Astyanax mexicanus: one gene and its partner. The protein of the gene in region 2 interacts with the protein of the main gene of each other region in a biochemical or structural test. Links are inferred from orthologs where the notes say so. Each region holds a gene or a part of one and is shown on either strand. Other genes may lie near its edges. The genes, in order: eme1 and slx4.

The links.
Region 1: the proteins of slx4 (region 2) and eme1 form a complex in vitro, tested with the Homo sapiens proteins (3 studies listed by BioGRID, with this or other methods). The link is inferred for Astyanax mexicanus from reciprocal best matches to the Homo sapiens genes SLX4 and EME1.

What each region holds. Positions count from the first base shown.
Region 1 is NC_064422.1:44,692,231-44,701,849, reverse strand, and holds the start of eme1 (crossover junction endonuclease EME1), read right to left. Parts: upstream 4,344-9,619; 5' UTR 4,137-4,343; intron 2,636-4,136; 5' UTR 2,551-2,635; intron 1,055-2,550; 5' UTR 1,030-1,054; coding exon 303-1,029; intron 1-302. Other genes in the region: mrpl27 (39S ribosomal protein L27, mitochondrial), read left to right, coding at 5,130-5,169, 6,920-7,051, 7,497-7,564, 8,263-8,469. UniProt on the Homo sapiens protein: Non-catalytic subunit of the structure-specific, heterodimeric DNA endonuclease MUS81-EME1 which is involved in the maintenance of genome stability. In the complex, EME1 is required for DNA cleavage, participating in DNA recognition and bending.
Region 2 is NW_026040046.1:1,762,118-1,772,122, reverse strand, and holds the start of slx4 (structure-specific endonuclease subunit SLX4), read right to left. Parts: upstream 4,787-10,005; 5' UTR 4,402-4,786; coding exon 4,053-4,401; intron 3,604-4,052; coding exon 3,423-3,603; intron 2,892-3,422; coding exon 2,652-2,891; intron 1-2,651. UniProt on the Homo sapiens protein: Regulatory subunit that interacts with and increases the activity of different structure-specific endonucleases.

The DNA of each region.
Region 1 (9,619 bases), on a different chromosome or scaffold from region 2:
TTTACCTTTTAAAAAGACATTTAAATGCATGATTAAAGGGCTGATTAAAGGGCTCCTCAGGTTCTGACTCAGCTCTTGATTGGTCCAGACACGAGACAGTAGCGCGCGGGTGGGGGCGGGGCTGGTGACATCATGGTGATGCCCTGCATTGTTTAATATCGCGATATATACCGTCAGAAAAAAAAAGAACATTTGCAATGTAATTTTTTCCAGTATCGTGCAGCACTACCTCGAATATGTCAAATTAAAGGGCATTTTAAGGCATTTTAAGACTATTTAAGGACCCATGTATACTCTGCTACCTGGATCCACGGCCACAGCCATGTGTTTGAGGCACTCCTCGGGTCTCATGGCCTTCACAGCGTCCGCCATCGCCTTCTTCTCTGCTCTCAGCCTCTCTCGCTCCCCCTGCTGCTTCTCTCGCGCCGCTCTCCTCCTCAGGGCGTCCTCCTTGGCCGCCTCCATTTCCGCAGGGGTCCTCTTGCCCTTTCGCGGATTTTCCCCTCCTGACAGAAGGTCTTTAGTAACACATGCTGCGTCATAATTACCGCTCTGATGACTAATGTTACTGGAATATTTTCCCAGATAATCCGCTGCCGGCCCGGTCTCAGGAACACGGTGAGCAGACAGGGCTGGTGACGGCTTAGCCGTTGTTAAGTTTCCGTTATGATTAGCAGCGATATGATTGGCCAATGATGTCTGAGCTTTAGAGACATCGCTCTGTTTCTGCTTTAGTCTCACAGCCAGCGGAATAAAGGCCTCCTCCTCCTCCTCACTCTCACTGCTGCTCACCATATGAACATCACTCTTCATCACAGCTCCAGATCCAGCTACTGCAGGAACGGCACTCTTGGTCCAGGAGTCAGAGTCAGCCTCAGAGCCGTCCACAACCACTAGATCACATTTTGAGCTCTTTGTTTTATCCTGGGCATTTCCACGCTGTGAGAAATTAATAAAAGGAAGCTCCTCCGAGTCGCTGGAGTCCGTATCGCTGAACTGTAAGCATGGTCTGCTGTTGGATCCCATCATTCAATCACCACCGGCTTCCTTCACTCTGTAAAAAGAGGAAATATGCAAGTTTATTCTATATTAAACTATTTAAAATGCAATTTTAAAAAAGCATTTGGAAATATGGGAATAATTTCCCAAAAAGAAGCATAAAAAAGAAAACAATAACTACTAAAACATAAATCGATATATCTTCTGAAAGCCTCTCTTTCTCATGTAACCCAACATTGATCAAAGCTAGAACTAAATATTCACTAAAATTAAACAAATGAACAAAAAAAAACATTAAACAAGAAATGAATTGAGAACCAGCGTTCTAACTGTACAGATCATGCAAAAATAGCATGGTAAAGATCAGATAAGCTTACTTTTATGTATGTATGTATATGTATATATATATATATATATATATATATATATATATATATATATATATATATATATATATATATATATATATATATATACACACACACACACACACACACACATATATATATATATATATATATATATATATATATATATATATATATATATAATTTTTTTTATTATTTAAGACTTTTTTAAGTCTATTTTAAGACTATATTTCTTTTACTATTTTACTTTACAATAAATGGTAAAATACTGAACTTGGCATATCTTAAAATTCAGTATATATAATATACATATATATATATTTGTTGCTTATATATTTTAACTTTTATGTGCTTATTTTTAGTTGCATTCTTATTTAGATCTTAGATATACAAGATATACAAGATACTTTTAAATAAGAATGCAACTAAAAATAAGCACATAAAAGTTAAAATATATAAGCAAAATATATATATATATATGTATATTATATATACTGATAATATATTTCAATATAATAATAATAATAATTATTATTATTATTATTATTATTATTATTATTATTATTATTATTATTATTATTTCATTATTTTCCTTTGACAACCCCTTCCCTATGTATTGGCATGGGATTTTAAAAAAGCAAGACCAATAAAAATATATATTTATTGGACAATACAATTTCATACATGTCAAATAGGAGTGTAATACAATATCGATATTAGAAATAGACTTTTATGCAGCACTGTATTGATTCTCAAAAATTCAATATTGATTTTTAATAAAGGGTTTACCTCCAAAGATTTGCTAAATGTCTTCACATCCTACTATTCTGATTGGATAAACAGTACACTTTTATTTTACTCTGATTTTATGTATTTGATGGTGTTTTAATATTTTTTTTAAATGAACAAATACATTGCACTAATTACAGTACAGAAACATACTAATTCATAACCCCTGTATTGTGATACAAGTCATATAGTCATTTATTTCACTAATACTTTTTGCCCATTTTTATACACTAAAAATATGTTTGATAAATTAACCTTAAATATATTTATATATATATTTATATATATATAATAAATCCTATCAGATATCAGCGTATTAATATAGTACTAAAATAAAGAGAGTAGGTGATATAATGTTGAGTGTTGGCGAGAGGCTGCAGAGCTGCTGATTTACCTCAGTAGACCTGACTGCAGCGAGCAGCGGGAAGGTGAGATGATCCTACATTTACAGCTTTGATGTGAAGCTTTTCTAGGCCAACCTACATAATGTAGAAGATAAAAATGAGGCGCCAAAACCGCATCAATAATGTAGCAGCTGAACTGAGCTCAAACTTTCCTGCTTTATCTCTCTATCAGGAGAAGTATTACTGTTACTGAGACAGAACAACAAAAACAGGGTAAACTGGGTTAGGAGAGATCATTTTCAGAATATTGTGCCTTTTGGAGTCTCATAAAAATTAAGATTTTTATTCTTCATGTCTTCAGACTAAAGAGAAATCAAACTTTTTTTTAGCTTAATCACTTTTTAATTTTTAATAGTGATGCACTGATGTAGGAATTCTGGGTCAATATCCAATATTACATATGTATATTTCTGCTGATATACATGTTTATAGCTTACAGAGAGATTACACACCCCAGTATAACTTTAACATCAAAACTAGTACAATTTTTTTTTTTTTTAACTTAGATTAAATCATTGAATTGTAGTTAGGCCAGCTTTGCTTTGTCCTTTTGCAGCATACAATAAATATAACAACTAGGGGTGACTATTTTTGACTATTTTTTAACTTTGGGGCTAATTATATGACTGACCAAGTTATCAGGTAACAGAGACAATACAATGATGCAGTACATAGGAAAATATATTAACAATAAAACAAGTAAGTCCTAAAAAACAACATTATTATAATTAGTTTTTTTTTATGTCAACTGTGATTAAGACCTTATACATATTCCTGGCAGTAAAACTATAAAAATTGAACAGATTATTTACATTTTTGATGAAAACATGATCAAATACAAAGTAATGTATAAATTCTTAATAAAGACATATTTAACTCTCATAGAATTCCTGATAATAACATCCGGCTTGTGTATATATATATATATATATATATATATATATATATATATATATATATATATATATATATATATATATATATATATATATAGGTATATAATTAGATCATATTCCTCATCAGTAGGAAACACAAATGGAGGGAATGATAAAAATAATTATGACGAATCGACTAATCGAAAAAATTATCGGCAGATTAGTCGACCACTAAAAAAGTGAGTAGTGTGGGAGGGAGGGGCACTGGGTGATGTATGGGTTTAGGGTTGGGGGCAGAACACATCATCCTTGGCTATAGTACAGTTGAACCTGCGAGGGCGCTGGAAAAAAAGTAAATAAAATAAAATAGAAAGGCGTTTTTTAAAGATTAGGAAATGTTTATAAAATGTTAAGCAGAACTGGTATGTTTCAGTACTTCAAATTAACATTTTACAGCTGTTAATAAATAAATGAAAAAATATGGTTTAGTGCATCTTTATAGAAAACTAAAGTGAAAAATGTATTAAAAGTTCTTTAAAGTGACGGATAACATTTCTCTATATGTGTAATAATGTGTTAAATTACAGTAATTGTTGTTTTCAGTAGTAAATGTGTTGATACACAGTGTTTATATGAAATATAAAACTATATAAACTATATACAAGTTATATAAACGATACTACAGCACCATAAACACTTACTGCGGGTGTGGAAGACGGCAGCAGCACTCCTCGCAGCGCTGGGTGTGAAATAAAGGCCTAATAAAGAAGTAAAAAGGTTAAAACTGTGTAAAAATCTGTAGTAAATAATCTCCGCTCTGTTTACCCTCCACTCTTCAATCTCCCGGGCTTCCTCTTCCTCTCCTGCCGCCGGGAAGCAGCTCTACACCGTGTACAGCCCACTGCTACCCCCTGCGGCCACCCAGCAGCTCAGCACTGCACACTGTACTATACTACACTAAATAAAAACTATTAAATAAATCAATATAACTATAAGTTTACTGCACATAAACAAAAAATAATAAATAACAGTATATAAACCTATATTTTTTGTTGAAAAAACAACCAAAAAGTACTCCAAATATATTTAAATATTACATAAGTAACCAAATAAATTGCTCCAAATACACTTAAAATGCTTTTTCAAATGAAAAAGAATAAAATACTTAATATATAATACTTAATAAGAAAATAATAAGAAAATAACTTATTTACTTTATTTTACTGATATACTCTGTACTCACCAAATGTATATTTTATGTTAGAACCTGAATAATGAACATTAAAAAACACTTTTTTTCATTTACAAAACAAAAAGAAAATAATTTACTTATTCAATAGACAGTAATACAGCTAAAATCTAATTGTTTCGCGTTTTAATTTAATATATCTTGTGTATTTGCCAAAATGTATAGTTGTTTGTATATTTGTGTGAAAAAAAAAAATATATATATATATATATATATATATATATAGAGAGAGAGAGAGAGAGAGAGAGAGAGAGACTTTTTTTTACATGTTTATTATTCCTCATTTATCATTGAATAACGTTTTAAACGTTTCAAGAAAAGTCTAATTGTTTTCTGTTTTTAATGTAATATTTTAGTCTCCTACACTGAGTAAAAGTGCGGTGGGCGTGGTTTGTTGAAATCTCGCGGGATCTGGCGGAGCGTGGTTCTCGGCGCGTGTTCCAGCATGGCTGCGCTCGTGTCCTTGTTGTTGCGACCCAGAGCCGGTGAGTCCCGGGGTTTAATCCGCGGTTCTGCGTGTTACTGTGATCCACAGCGCGGGGTGGAGCGGGCAGGGAGGCGGGTATATGCGGGGAACGGGTCGCTGTGTGATTGTCGCTCTGTGTTTCTGTATTATAGGTGTTATGTGCTGGTGCTGTAATCCTGCAGTATCCTGACCCCTGTGTCTCTCTGTATCTCCCTGTATTTATTTGTATCTCCCTCTCTCTCTGCATTTCTTTCTCTGTGTCTCTGTATCTTAATGTATTGCTCCGTGTCTTTCTTTGTATCTTTGTTTATCTCTGTATCTTTATGTCTCTCTGTGTATCTCTCTGTGTCTCTCTGTATCTCTGTGTCTCGCTGTATCTCTGTGTCTCGCTGTGTATCTCTCTGTGTCTCGCTGTGTATCTCTCTGTGTCTCTCTGTATCTCTCTGTGTCTCTCTGTATTTCTCTGTGTCTCTCTGTATCTCTCTCTGTATCTCTCTTTGTATCTCCCTGTCTCCCTGTATTTCTCTGTGAATCTTTCTGTATCTTTGTGTCTCTCTGTATCTCTGTGTATCGCTCTCTCTCTATCTCTTTCTGTGTATCTCTCTGTGTCTCTCTGTATCTCTGTGTCTCGTTGTGTATCTCTGTGTCTCTCTGTATCTCTCTGTGTCTCTCTGTATCTCTGTGTCTCTCTGTATCTCTGTGTCTCTCTGTGTCTTTCTGTGTCTCTCTGTATTTCTCTGTGTCTCTCTGTATTTCTCTGTGTCTCTCTGTATTTCTCTGTGTCTCTCTGTATTTATCTGTGTCTCTCTGTATCTCTCTCTGTATCTCTCTCTGTATCTCCCTGTCTCCCTGTATTTCTCTGTGAATCTTTCTGTATCTTTGTGTCTCTCTGTATCTCTGTGTATCTATCTGTGTCTCTCTGTATCTCTGTGTATCTATCTGTGTCTCTCTGTGTATCTCTGTGTATCGCTCTCTCTCTATCTCTTTCTCTGTATCTCTCTGTATCTCTGTTTATTTAAGCTACAGCTGCTCCTTATCTGTGTATTTTACAGACAAACTGGAAGTATATGAGTTGAGTATATGGCTTGTTGCTGTTTTAGTTGCTTTATTTTTCTAGCAATTGCAGCATTTTAAGTTCAAAACTGCTACCAAACTAATACAATTAGTTATTGTTCCAATAAAACATAATTAATTATACTCTCACTGTATTCAAATATTGAATTGACTGTATTCACTAAGTATTAAAGATAATTAAACCCCTTGATTTTAACTGACTCTACCCTCAGCTCAAATTTGGTAAATGCAAAAAAAAATAAAATGTGTGGCAATGGGTGATGTATGGGTTTAGGGGCGGAACTAACTGACTGATTTGCCTAATGCGTGTAGGGTGTTAAAATACACGGGAACATTATCCTCGCCTATAGCACAAATAAAAGTGTTTTTTTTTAAAGGTTAGGAAATGTTTATAAAAATAAATAATATAAATGTTATAAAAAATTTTATTACTATAAATGTTTTATTACTACAGAGGAACACATTTCAGCTATTAATAATTTTTTTTTTTTAAGTTTACGGTTTAGTTCCTCTTTTATATTTACCACCTATTATAAACTACTCTTAATATGTGGCCCAAGTGCAGGTGCTGAAGGCATATCAAACAGATTGAAAAACAGATTAGGAATAGCCAAATTAACAATCAGCAAGACATCAAAAACTATATTAAAAGTGTATTTATTCACACACCTTGTATGTGTATTCTTTCTCTGCAGGTTTTCTCACATCATGCCCAGTGCCAGCAGTGGTGGTGCCCACAAGACTGGCATCTAAGAAGGCCGGAGGAAGCAGTAAAAATCTGGGAGGCAAAAGTCCCGGCCGCAGATACGGATTTAAACAACACGAAGGTATTAATTACTGTTTATAAAAAAAATTACATAATTCAAGGATTATTAGGCACTATTAACAGCTAGGCCTGTCGCGATAATTGTGTTATGGATTTATTATACAATACACAACCTCTTTTAGAGTATGGGTTATATTTCCATTAATTATTTAGAAATTCTCAATATATATATATATATATATATTTCTCTTTAAATGGAAGTAATGACATTATTGTGTTGTTATTATTATATTATGAATATATCAGTGGCAAAAATGGTCTTAAAATACACTAATATCATTAATCGTAATTATTTTAAGAATCCACACAAGGATTTGTGACAGTGGGAAACGCGGGAAAAAATTATGTTCTGTGTCTTTACTTGCATTGTTATTAGTCCTGCACTTTCTTCATTTTTCCAAGCTCCTCATATTTTACTTTAATCTTTGGTTTATTTTTGTTTAAAGGAGATTTTGTTCATGCTGGCTACATCCTGGCAACACAGCGGGCACTGCGCTGGCACCCAGGAGCTCATGTAAGTGTTATTATTATTATTTTTTTGTTATTACTTTATCTTTGACAATATAACATGTATATGTAGCGATAGAGATGTAGGGTGTCCTAATTGTTGTTGTTGGTGTAAATCAGAGGTCATTAATAAGCAGAGCGTGGGTCTGGTCTGGTCAGTAAACCCACAGACCAATCACCTGTTCTGTAAGATCACCAAACGCTCTCCTCAGCCAATCAGATCTGTGCAGATGCTTTAGGGTGGAGCTACACATGGGCAAAGCATGCAGTTAGAAGCAGCAGTCAGAGAATAAAGCAAGAAAGGCTGATTTAGATGGTGCGCACCAGAAAATTAAATTAAATTACTACATTTATTTATAAAACATACTAACAGTTAATAAAATAAAACCAAGTTCAGCAAATAACGAACATTTCTCCATATATTGTATCGTATGATTTGTCATTTATGTAATTATTTTTATGACAGGCAGCCTACATCTAATATAAACAAAATCAAATAGAATAAATAAAGCATATATTTAAAACATTTTCACATTACAATTTTTTATCGTTTCACCCCTAATCATAACACAAGGTAAAAATGATGACGATCCGGACCTCGGCCTGACTAAAACGTACTGAATTCTAATAAACTAACCCTAAGATTGCTTAAATTGCCACATAAACTGACCCTCAGTTGTCGCTCCTCTGTCTTTTCTCTCACAGGTTGGCATCGGAACGAACAATACCCTCTTCGCCCTGGAGGACGGCAGGGTCAGATTCACCAAGGAGGTGTACATTCCTCGTCCTCGCAGTGCTGAAGCGAGACATATGATCCCCAAGCTCCCGAAAGGAGCCGTTCTCTACAAATCCTTCATCAACATTGTTCCCACCAAGCAGGAGAACAATTTCAAACTGGTCGACTTGGTTTAAAAGAGACTCGCTGTTTAACTCATGTGAACTTTTGCATTTTGATGTGGATCATTTATGGACTTAATGGAGAATTGCCTCACCCATAAGGCAAATTTTTTTTTTTTTTTTTTTATGTTTGTGAATAAATGAGCTACTCTACTGGTATGAAATCACCTGCTTTTGTTTACTTTCTTAAAGGACTCATTCCATCATTTTTATTAATTTTAAAAAGTCTAGTTGTGGTCTCTAGTATGAGTGGAAAAAAAAAAAAATCTCCGGCGATCCAGTATAACGCTGTTTTAGTCCAGTGGAAGAGTGGGGGGACAGAGAGAAACGATAGGATTTCGGCTCTTGCTCACGAATATTCATACATGCAAACATATCGCCTCTGATTGGCTTACAGCACTGCGACACCAGGAGGCAGTGAGACGGACATTTAAAAATGTTTTAAAATAAAGACATTTTTACACTAATAACAGTCTTTACAATGTCATATGTTACTTTACAACATGTGTAATAATGCCCTGCTAAGTGCAGTTCAGCCTATATTGACCTAGACTTAAGAGTCTCTGTAAAACACCAAATCCACCGAAGATCCTATTTAAACCTATAGTTACCTATTAGTCCAGGTCCAGAAAGTAAAAATCCACCCCGGGGTGGATTTTTACTTTTAACTAGTGTAAACAGAACTGTTCTAAACATCTAAACACCTATCTATCTCAATTGTACTTGGCTGGTGGTGTTTTCCTCCATAGACTAATTCTAACCATTTGTTTCTTAGCTCTGAATTACTGGGTAAAGTATATGAACACTGATGTGTTATTCGCACAAATAACACAGGAATGAACTGCATGCTGTTTCTAGCGCTGTTAGTTATCTCCTATCTGATGAGACGGCGTCGCTGCCCGGCTTCAGCTCTGCCTGTGGGCGGTCCCGAGCCGAGGTGGGCGGGGCCATGAATACTAATTCACGGGTTGATGTAGACACAGTGCTTTTCCTGATCGACTTGTTTTTTTTTCCTGAATGTTTTATTTTACTAGATACTACAGACAATGGAGGTTGAGGAAGAGTTTCATCATGTGCAGCATCATAAACAACTCAGAGACCTACTGTATTTCACAAACAACAAGAACAAGAGGATTTTAGCGGATGGAGACATTAGGGGGTGTAC
Region 2 (10,005 bases):
GTCAAAAAGAGGATCGACGATCCCTGCCGCGCGCGCTACGCAAATAGCGCAGCACGCTACGCAAATGGCGCGGCACCAACACAGCGCATCCTATTCATTTAAAGCGCAGCCCCGCCCTCAGTTCTGCTGTGTGAGAGACAGCTGCCTTTCAACCACGGAGGAGAAACTGAAAACGGATTTATAGAAATATAGACAGGGCTCTCAAGTTTTGAGTGTCGGCGGGAGTGTGATCACTGTTTTTTATCTGTCCAACGGGGGAGGGGGGGACGGGGGTTGGGCGCGCAGGTTTTGTATCTGTATCTAACGGAGGGGTGGGTGCGCGCAGGTGAGAGCGTGTGAACTCGCTGAAATGCGTGTGTCAGTCTGACTTGAGAACACTGACTATAGATCATAGTGAGGTGGATTAAAAATCTTAAACTTATAATTGACTACACCTGTTGCTTTCCATTGAATTAAAAAAACATCTTTCTCTCAGATAAAGTAAACACAAGCGTGTTTCTGACTAAAATAAAAGCTTTTCAGGAGAGATATAAGTTATGTGTAAATATTTATAAGACAATACCTGACAAAATCTGTTTTAATGACGTTAATAAACATCACTGTGACAGCGCTAGTCACAGTTTCACCACATCACTTATCTAACCAGCCTGTACTGATTTCTGCCCCCCAATAATGCTTTCAATGACCTCTAATAGCCTTTAATAGTCTTCAGTAGCCTTTAAAAGACTTACCTGGCGGCCGTGGTGTGTCCACTAAACTCCGTAGTTATAAACATCCTGAGGTTAGCAGCGCGCTAACTGACCTGTTTATAATGTAATCCGAGCAGTGCCTCCGTGTCGGCTGTTCTAACCTGCTGCTGTTAGCTGCTTGGGCTGAAAGATGAACTGTAGTGAGCTGTATTATCCGGTTAGTGGGGTTAAAACCTTTATTTGTTTACAGAAACAGTAAAAACGGACTGGCTGAGCTCTGTAGCCCGTGGCTGGGCTTGTGCTGCTGCTGCAGCTCCGACTAGTGGTTTGATGAAGAACTGCAGCTTCATGTAAGTGAGCAGTTTCACCATCCATCCACACACAGCTCTGATAAACTGCTTGTTTTAATAGTGCACACTGTTGCTACCAAAATAAGTCACTAGATGGCATTACCATATATATCTTAATAAATAATAATAATATTTATAATATTTATAATAATAATAATAATAAATATATTTAAATTTTATGAGGCATAAAATAATAACAAGAAAAAAAAACAAGAAAATCGAGAATCGAATCGAATCGTGACCCTCAAATCGAAAATGAAATCGAATCGAGGATTTAGAGAATCGTGACACCCCTAGTAGATATATTCTAACATGGAGAGACAGAATATCAAGACAAAAATCCAGAATATAATTTTAAAGAATATATTTTAATTAATTTGTATTTCAATGAGGAAAATAAGTATTTGATCTCTCTTGCCAAACACACTCAATACTTAATATAATAATAATAATACTTTATTTTTATATAGCGCTTTTCTAAAACCCAAAGACGCTTACAGTCATCATTTGTGAAAACAAATAGAAACATTACACAAGTGGTGACAGAAAATCAACATAGTACGAGAACAGACAGCAGGGATAAGTGGTATAGTACATTAAACAGAGGGAAGGCCGTAGGCAAGAGAAAAGAGGTGAGTCTTGAGTGTAGATTTGAACAAGGAAAGAGAGGAGGATTGTTTGACCGCAGATGGGAGAGAATTCCATAGTTGAGGAGCAAGTCTGGAAAAAGCCCGATCACCAAAGCCATGGAGTTTAGAGGCTGGGACTTTAAGAAGTCCAGCAGTAGCAGACCTAAGGGATCGAGATGGTCTGTAAGGAAGAAGGAGGTTTGACAGATAAGGAGGTGCAAGATTATTTAATGCCTTATAGGTAAGTAAGAGAATCTTGAATTGAATCCTGTATTTAACAGGGAGCCAGTGAAGATTTTGGAGAACAGGTGTAATGTGTTCATGGGTGCGAGTGTGAGTGAGTAAACGGGCAGCTGCGTTTTGTACCATCTGGAGTTTATGGATAGAGGAAGAACTAATGCCAGCAAGCAAGGAGTTACAGTAATCTAGTCTGCTGGAAATGAAAGCATGAAGGAGTTTTTCAGCAGTGGACTGAGTAACGGATCGTGGAATTTTAGCTATTCTGCGCAGATGAAAGAATGCAGTTTTCACCACAGAGTTGATGTGAGCTGTAAAAGAGAGAGTGGAATCCACTTAGTGGCAAAGCCTTTGTTTGCAAGCACAGCGGTGAGTCGTTTGTTGTAGAAATCTCTCAGCGTCCACTTAGATGTGTGGTGTGAAATACTGAAAGACACTCGCCGAGCCGTCACAAAGTGATCGCTGACGAGTCGCAGACACCTGGCAAATATTTGGCATGCTACATATGTGGTCCAGTTGCCGACTGGGAGTCAAGAGCAGAAGGAGAAAACCACCAGAACCACTTACAGAGCCTGATCAGTTTCTGTTTCCCCTGTTAAATTAAAACTCTACATATACATACATATATATACACACACACACACACACACACATATATATACACACATACATACATATACACAGGTATGTGTGTGTGTGTGATTGAGGTCATATACCATTTTAAACAAAAATATGAAGCTACTTACTGCTCAGCCGCACTATCGCTCAAACTTTCAGACGCCTGTCTCTGCAAGGCCTGCAGAAGCTCAGCTGGAGACACGCCCATGCTGGCGGAGCAGCGCTTCAAGTGAGTGGAACGACTCTTTTCAGACTTAAAGCCACGCCCACAAATTGGGCACTCTGGAACTCGAGGCTGGAGTGCAGATGCAGGAGCAGCAGGAGCTTCAGAGATTTTTTCAGAGGAGCTCTCACTCTCATCCAAACACCTGAATCAAGGAGATGAAGGAGAGCATAAGAGTATGCTGTGCCACACAGGGATAACAAAGGAAAATACCAATTTGTTAGCAAAGTATTACAATATTGAGTTTTGTAATATTGTGCCAATTAGGGGTGTGCTGTATTATACTCAATAATATCGCCAACATATTTGAATATTGTGAATGATATTATACTCTGAAATATCACCACTTTTTGCTATTTTTAAGAAAAGGGAATTCACACTGTACGAATTTGTCTACTAGAGACAGATTATATCTGTCCAGTATAATTTATTTTACTTTACTCCTGGATTTATGGAGATCTTTGGAGTGCATTATTATTATAATTGACTCCTGTTACAAATATGATCTGGCTGTGTAGTGTACTATACTGGAGTACACTGTACACTGGAGGAATATGACTTTATCTAAGATATGTATGCCATCCTGGACGAGTGAGGATCACCAGTTGTAGCCAGTTTAAAGAATCTGCCACAGTAGTATTGTTTCAGTGTAGTTAGTGCTAGCCTGCTGCAGTACCTGTTGATATGCTGAGTGCGTAGCTGAGGGCTCATAGCTGACAGGTCTTTGTAGCAGAGCTGGCACAAGAACAAGCCTTTACCCTCTGTGTCCACCACAGCCTGGGTCTCAGCCTCATGATCCAGCTGCTGCTGGAGCCTCCGAGCCAGTGCTTCATCACTTTCAGTTTCTTCTTTGAGCTCTGACAAACACAAATATTTAAATGTATGGCATTTAGTAGATGCTCTTCCACCAGCAATACAAGTTGCAACAAGATTTAATAGTTACGAAATAGTTGGCATCACCATATTGTTTCCATATAGTTGTTCAGCTTTGCAGAGCTATTTTTTACATAAAAATGTTAACTGTTACACCTGCATGACCAAGGCTGCTGATCAGTATGACCAACATGCATGCCAGCATATCCAATCGTGACCACATTTAACATACACAACGCTAGTCAACAACTGGTTAACCAGCAAGTTCGCCAGTACAGTGTAGCTATTTCCACCTGGATCACCAGCTTTTCAAGTACCTTTACCATCAAAGACCAGTGTAGACCAGCAGAAGCTGCTTATGAGCAGGGAACCATCATACAGTAGAAAGTCACATACTGTAGAACATAACAGATGATTGTGAGTGTATTACTACCTCGTCTGGGTGGTGATACTGTCTCCCCCCGATGTTCCTCTGCCTCCACATGGAGAAGCCGGGGAGGACTCTCTCTCCTAAAGCGCTCCATCCTCCGGAGCACCTTCTCCTTCACGCTGAGAAAGGAGGCTCCATCTGCCGGACAGACAGGCTGCGACCTGCCCGCTGCCTGGCTCTGGAGCTGCCCGTTCTTCTGCCTCTTCCTCCTGGGGGGAGCTCTGCTCTGAGAGGGACCTGCAGCTTCATCTGGAGCTGCGACTGGTTTCTTCTCATCCCCAGAATCTTTCCGTTTCACCCTCTTGAGGAGCCGAGAGCAGAGATCAGAGAACTCCTGGTCCGAGTCGTCCATGGCCGCCAGGTAGAGAACAACATCTCCCAGAGGTTCGGATCAGATCAGCATGGTGACCAGTAGCTTCTTCAGTTTACTGTCCTAACCAACCAACCAAGTAACGTTTAACTAACGTTACCCAGTGTCTCTATCAGCTATCAGCTCCTTACCACAACAACTCCAGCTAACAACTACTTTAGCTATATTTCTTCACAGAAATCACATTAAACCCCACTAACATCTCGTGTGGGTGGGACTACACTAACCGCACTGAAAGCGGTGGCTGTTTTTAGTCTAAAAGCCGTGTTTTAATCTCTCTAAATCAGTCTAGTTAGCCTGCTAGCCTCTAGCTAACCTACGTTCAAAATTCTCCACCACAACCGCCTCTCCCACGTACAGTGACGTATTCGCGCTCACGCCGGGTTGCGCAGGGGCTTGTGGGATTTGTAGTTAGTTCATCTACAAACACACGCTGCTGTTTATGGCAGGAAATAATCTCAAACAAAGAGAAATACCCATAAAAGAATCTTTTAGGGGTTTGTTGAACCACCAGTATACGCACGATCCTGAGTGATAAATGCATTTCAGCACAATCAGATTTTATATATGTGCTTAATATATGTGTTTAATCATTTTCATTCTGAAAAATGTACTAATTTCTTCAACACAATATTTATGTTCTTATGGAACCATGGTACATGGAACAACGAATATTATAGCAGACATACCAGATTGCAAATCTGTGGGGCGGGGGTCTGATACAGTTTTGTTTTGTGTGTGTGTAAGTGTATGAGGAGTGATGGGGTGTCATTTCAGTCCCTGTGTGTGTGTGAAGAGTGTTGGGTGGGTTTACTACAGTTCTTGTATGTGTGTGTGAATAGTGGTGGAGATTCAGTTCAGTTCTGTGTGAGTGTGTTGGGTGTGTGGTTGGGGGTGGGTTCAGCTCTGTCTCTGTGTGCTGAGGAGTCTGACTGCCTGGTGGATGAAGCGGTTGCAGAGTCTGGTAGTGGAGGCTCGGATGCTCCTGTCTCTTCTGCCAGATCTTGTCAGCTGTGCTCACTATCCGCTGTAGGGTCTTGAGGTCTGAGGTGTTGCAGTTCCCAAACCAGACGGTAATGCAGGTGCTTAAGATGCTTTCTACACTCCCTCTGGTAATGATGGGAGGTGGAAGATGTGCTTTTCTCAGTCTTTGCTGGAAGTGGAGGTCCTGCTGGGTTTTCTTGGTTATGGTGCTGATGTTGAGGGACCAGGTGAGGTTATTGTTTGTATTATTTTAAATGTTTAGACCTAAAGACACTCACAGGAGCGTACAAGATAGTAGCTACAGGGGTATGAAAAAGTTTGGGCACCCCTGATAATTTGTCAGATCGGTAATTTCAGTTAAATATATCATATATCAGATGAACATAGTGATATTTGAGAAGTGAAATTAAGTTTATAAGATTTATAGAAAGTGTGCAATAATTCTTTAAACAAAATAAGGCAAGTGCATAAATTTGTGAATTGACAATATTAGAAACAGGTGGATTTGTCCCCCCCAAAATGATATTGTTTCGCTCAGCTCAGCTGTACTATTAATGAGGAGACAGACCGATCACGGAGCCGGTTCAGGTATTAAGTCCCGCCTCCCAGTAGAAACAGCCAATCAGCTTGCTGACGGGGGAAGCCCCTCCCTGGCTGTGAGATTTAGCAGCGGGATCGGGCTGCAGCAGCTTCAGCTGATTTTAAAACAGATCTGGATATACGGAGATTTTTCTAACAGAAAGGTAACGGAGCTAATCATGTCAACTGTAAACCCACAGTGATTAATAAACTGCAGCTGTGTGAGTCAGTTATCTTAAATTTGGAATTAGTTAGAGTGGGAGTCAAGGTTAAAGAAAAAAAAATATATATATATGTAATGTTCAACTTGCCCTGTACCTGATCAGCTAATCATTATTACATTTTCCAACTGTGTTTATTAATTTAGGATTACAGGATATACTGTGAGCTATAATGAAAGAAATGTAATTTAACTAACTAGTAATCTAGAAGCTGCATGTAGTAGATAGTCAGAATTTAATAAAGTACTTTATGTTTGTAGTTTAAAGCAGTTTCTTAACCCCGATCACTGCCCCAAAACTGTGTTTTCCACCTGGTCCAGCTGATCAGCTAATAAACAGTCATTTACTGAGTTTACCTGTTAAAATCTTTAAGCCCACTATGGAGCCTGTATTAATCATGTATATTAGCAGTGTTTTAGACACATCATACCACCACTTACTTTATTAAGTTCCTTTAAAGCAGAGGAAGCTCTGATATGCAGAACAGTGTTAATATTCAGTAGAATATGTAAGAACAGGGTTGAGAAACACTGCTGTAACGTGACTTCTGTTCATTTGTAGTTCACAGTAAGACCACATGTCCTGACGTTTATAAAAATCTCTATGAAACGTAAAGTTACATTCTTTTACATAAAATGTCACCATCTTAAGAAGAGCTCTCAGTAGATAAATAAAAGCACAGGAGAAAATTTAAATATACAACAGAATTGACATGCCAATACATAATAATAATAATAATAATAATAATAATAATAATAATAATAAACAAATCTGTTATATTATTTTAAATATTAGGTGATAACTGAACATTTTTGTCATATGTATATAATTCAGTCATTGCATGCATAATTTTTCTAACAACAGTAACTGTAACGTTACTGTTACACTGAGTAACATGTTAAGGTTGTAAAATCACCTTATAATAATAATTTACTTTTAATTAAAAGTATTTCCACAAATGTTGTTCTAGGAAACTATAGGGTGGGCTTGGGTTCATATTGGCAAATGTGTCCCCCCCCAATATCAAGCCCGCTCCTACACCCTTGGCATAGTTGTCTTGTTAAAGTATCCAGCCCCAGCGCAACTTCAACTTTCTCACTGATTAAACACAGTTCTCAGGAATCTGCTGATATTGACTGAAATCCATGAGACTCTAAACTTTAACAAGATTCTCAGTAGCTGCACTGATCACACAGCCCCACAGCACGATGAACCACCACCACGTTTTACTGTGAGGAGCAGTAGAGTGTTGTTCTTGGAATGTTGTGTTCTTTTCCAACACTTTTAGTGTCATCAGTCCACAGCTCTATCTTCCAAAATGATCAGCAATCAATCGTCATGTGTGACTATAGGTGTGTCCCAATTCAGGGGCTGTATCCTTCTAAGGACGCGGTCTACGAAAGTGTGTCCTTCGTAGGATGGGTAGGCTGCAGCGGCTCTACTGAAATGGGACAGTCTAAGCTATGGAGTTTTTCCTGTTTCCTGTTTGAGATTCTACAGGTCCTTCTCAAAAAATTAGCTTATTGTGATAAAGTTCATTATTTTCTGTAATGTACTGATAAACATTAGACTTTCATATATTTTAGATTCATTACACACAACTGAAGTAGTTCAAGCCTTTTATTGTTTTAATATTGATGATTTTGGCAAAAAAGTAAAGAAAAAATTAGCCTATTTCATCCGACCAATAAAAGAAAAGTGTTTTTAAAACAAAAAAAGTCAACCTTCAAATAGATATGTTCAGTTATGCAATCAGCCTGTGGCACAGCTGAGGTGTTCTGGAGGCCCAGGATGCTTCTATAGCGGCGTTAAGCTCATCCAGAGTGTCGAGTCTCACGTCTCTCAACTTTCTCTTCACAATATCCCACAGATTCTCTATGGGCTTCAGGTCAGGAGTGTTAGCAGGCCAATTGAGCACAGTAATACCATTTACCAGTGGTTTTGGCCCTGTGAGCAGGTGCCAGGTCCTGCTGAAAAATTAATTCTTGATCTCAGCAGATGGAAGCATGAAGTGCTCCAAAATCTCCTGATAGCTGCATTGACCCTGCCCTTGATAAAACACAGTGGACCAACACCAGCAGCTGACATGGCACCCCACACCATCACTGACTGTGGGTACTTGACACTGGGCTTCAGGCATTTTGGCATTTCCTTCTCCCCAGTCTTCCTCCAGACTCTGGCACCTTAATTACTCTGGTACTTTGGAGCACTGAGCAACAGCTGCTTCTCTGTAGTCCAGGCGCTTCTGCCGCTGTTTCTGGTTCAAAAGTGTCTTGATCTGGGGAATGCAGCACCTGTAGCCCATTTCCTGCACACGCCTGTGCACGGTGGCTCTGGATGTTTCTACTCCAGACTCAGTCCACTGCTTCCGCAGGTCCCCAAGGTCTGGAATCGACTCTTCTCCACAATCTTCCTCAGGGTCCGCTCACCTCTTCTCGTTGTGCAGCGTTTTTTGCCACACTTTTCCTTCCCACAGACTTCCCACTGAGTTGCCTTTATACAGCACTCTGGGAACAGACTATTCGTTCAGAAATCTCTTTCTGTGTCTTACCCTTTTGCTTGAGGGCGTCAGTGATGGCCTTCTGGACAGCAGTCAGGTCGGCAGTTTTTAGTAATGAACCAGGCTGGGAGTTTTTAAAAGCCTCAGGAATCTTTTGCAGGTGTTTAGGGTTAATTCGTTGATTCAGATGATTAGGTTAATAGCTCGTTTAGATAACCTTTTTATGATATGCTCATTTTGTGAGATAGGAATTTGGGGTTTTCATGAGCTGTATGCCGAAATCATCAGTATTAAAACAATAAAAGACCTGAAATATTTCAGTTGGTGTGCAGTTGGTGAATCTAAAATATATGAAAGTTTAATTTTTATCATTTTCATTTCCGCTAGAGGGAGCCCTCCCCCTCCTCTCTCCCTGTTGTAGCTGTGATGTATCAGCGCGAGTTTTACATATTGTACATACTAAGATTTTATTATCAAGTTTTTATTCATTTTGGACTATCCTGTAGGTTACACACACAGTTCAACAAACATTTACCTCATATTATTTTATCATCATCAAAAATAAATATATAAATAAATATATAAAAATATATACAAATATAATATATATATATATATATATATATGTAAAAATAACAGGGTTGAAAATTACAGGGCTGCAGGGAAAGCCCATCCAATGAATTATATTGTATCCAAATTTAAACATTAGCTTAGAGATTTTATAAGACAGATTTATTTCTGACTGCACTTATAACTACAGTTTAATAAACATTTACCTCTTATCCCTTCTACATAATTTCAAAATATAAAAAAATGACAAACAAATGAAAATAACGGTTGAATAGACGATTCAGACAACATTTTTTAAAGCAGTTATCAAAACCTCTTCCAGTTTTTGCCTTCATATTTTATCTTAAATTATTATGCATTTAAATTAAGATTTCATAAGGTTTTTCATATTGTCTTTGACTGTCCAGTAAATTATAAAAACAGGTTGAACATTTAATTCATTTCTTTTTTTCATCTATTTTAATCAATATAAAATTAAAACTCAGTGACAAAATTGATCATTTCAGAAACTTATTTAAAAAAACATTATTTTAGATTTTTTTTTGACAAACCTTTTATTTACCTTTTATTAAAATAATCTAATAGAGCGATGTATATTGCAGTTCGTGCTCTTATTTTTTTTAATCGTGTGAACGATTTTTCAAATTCAAGTGATTGAAGTCTTTTTTTTTTCAGTTCATGCGCACACAGGCGGGATTAACACTCAACTGTTAATGTCTGCTATGAGGGACA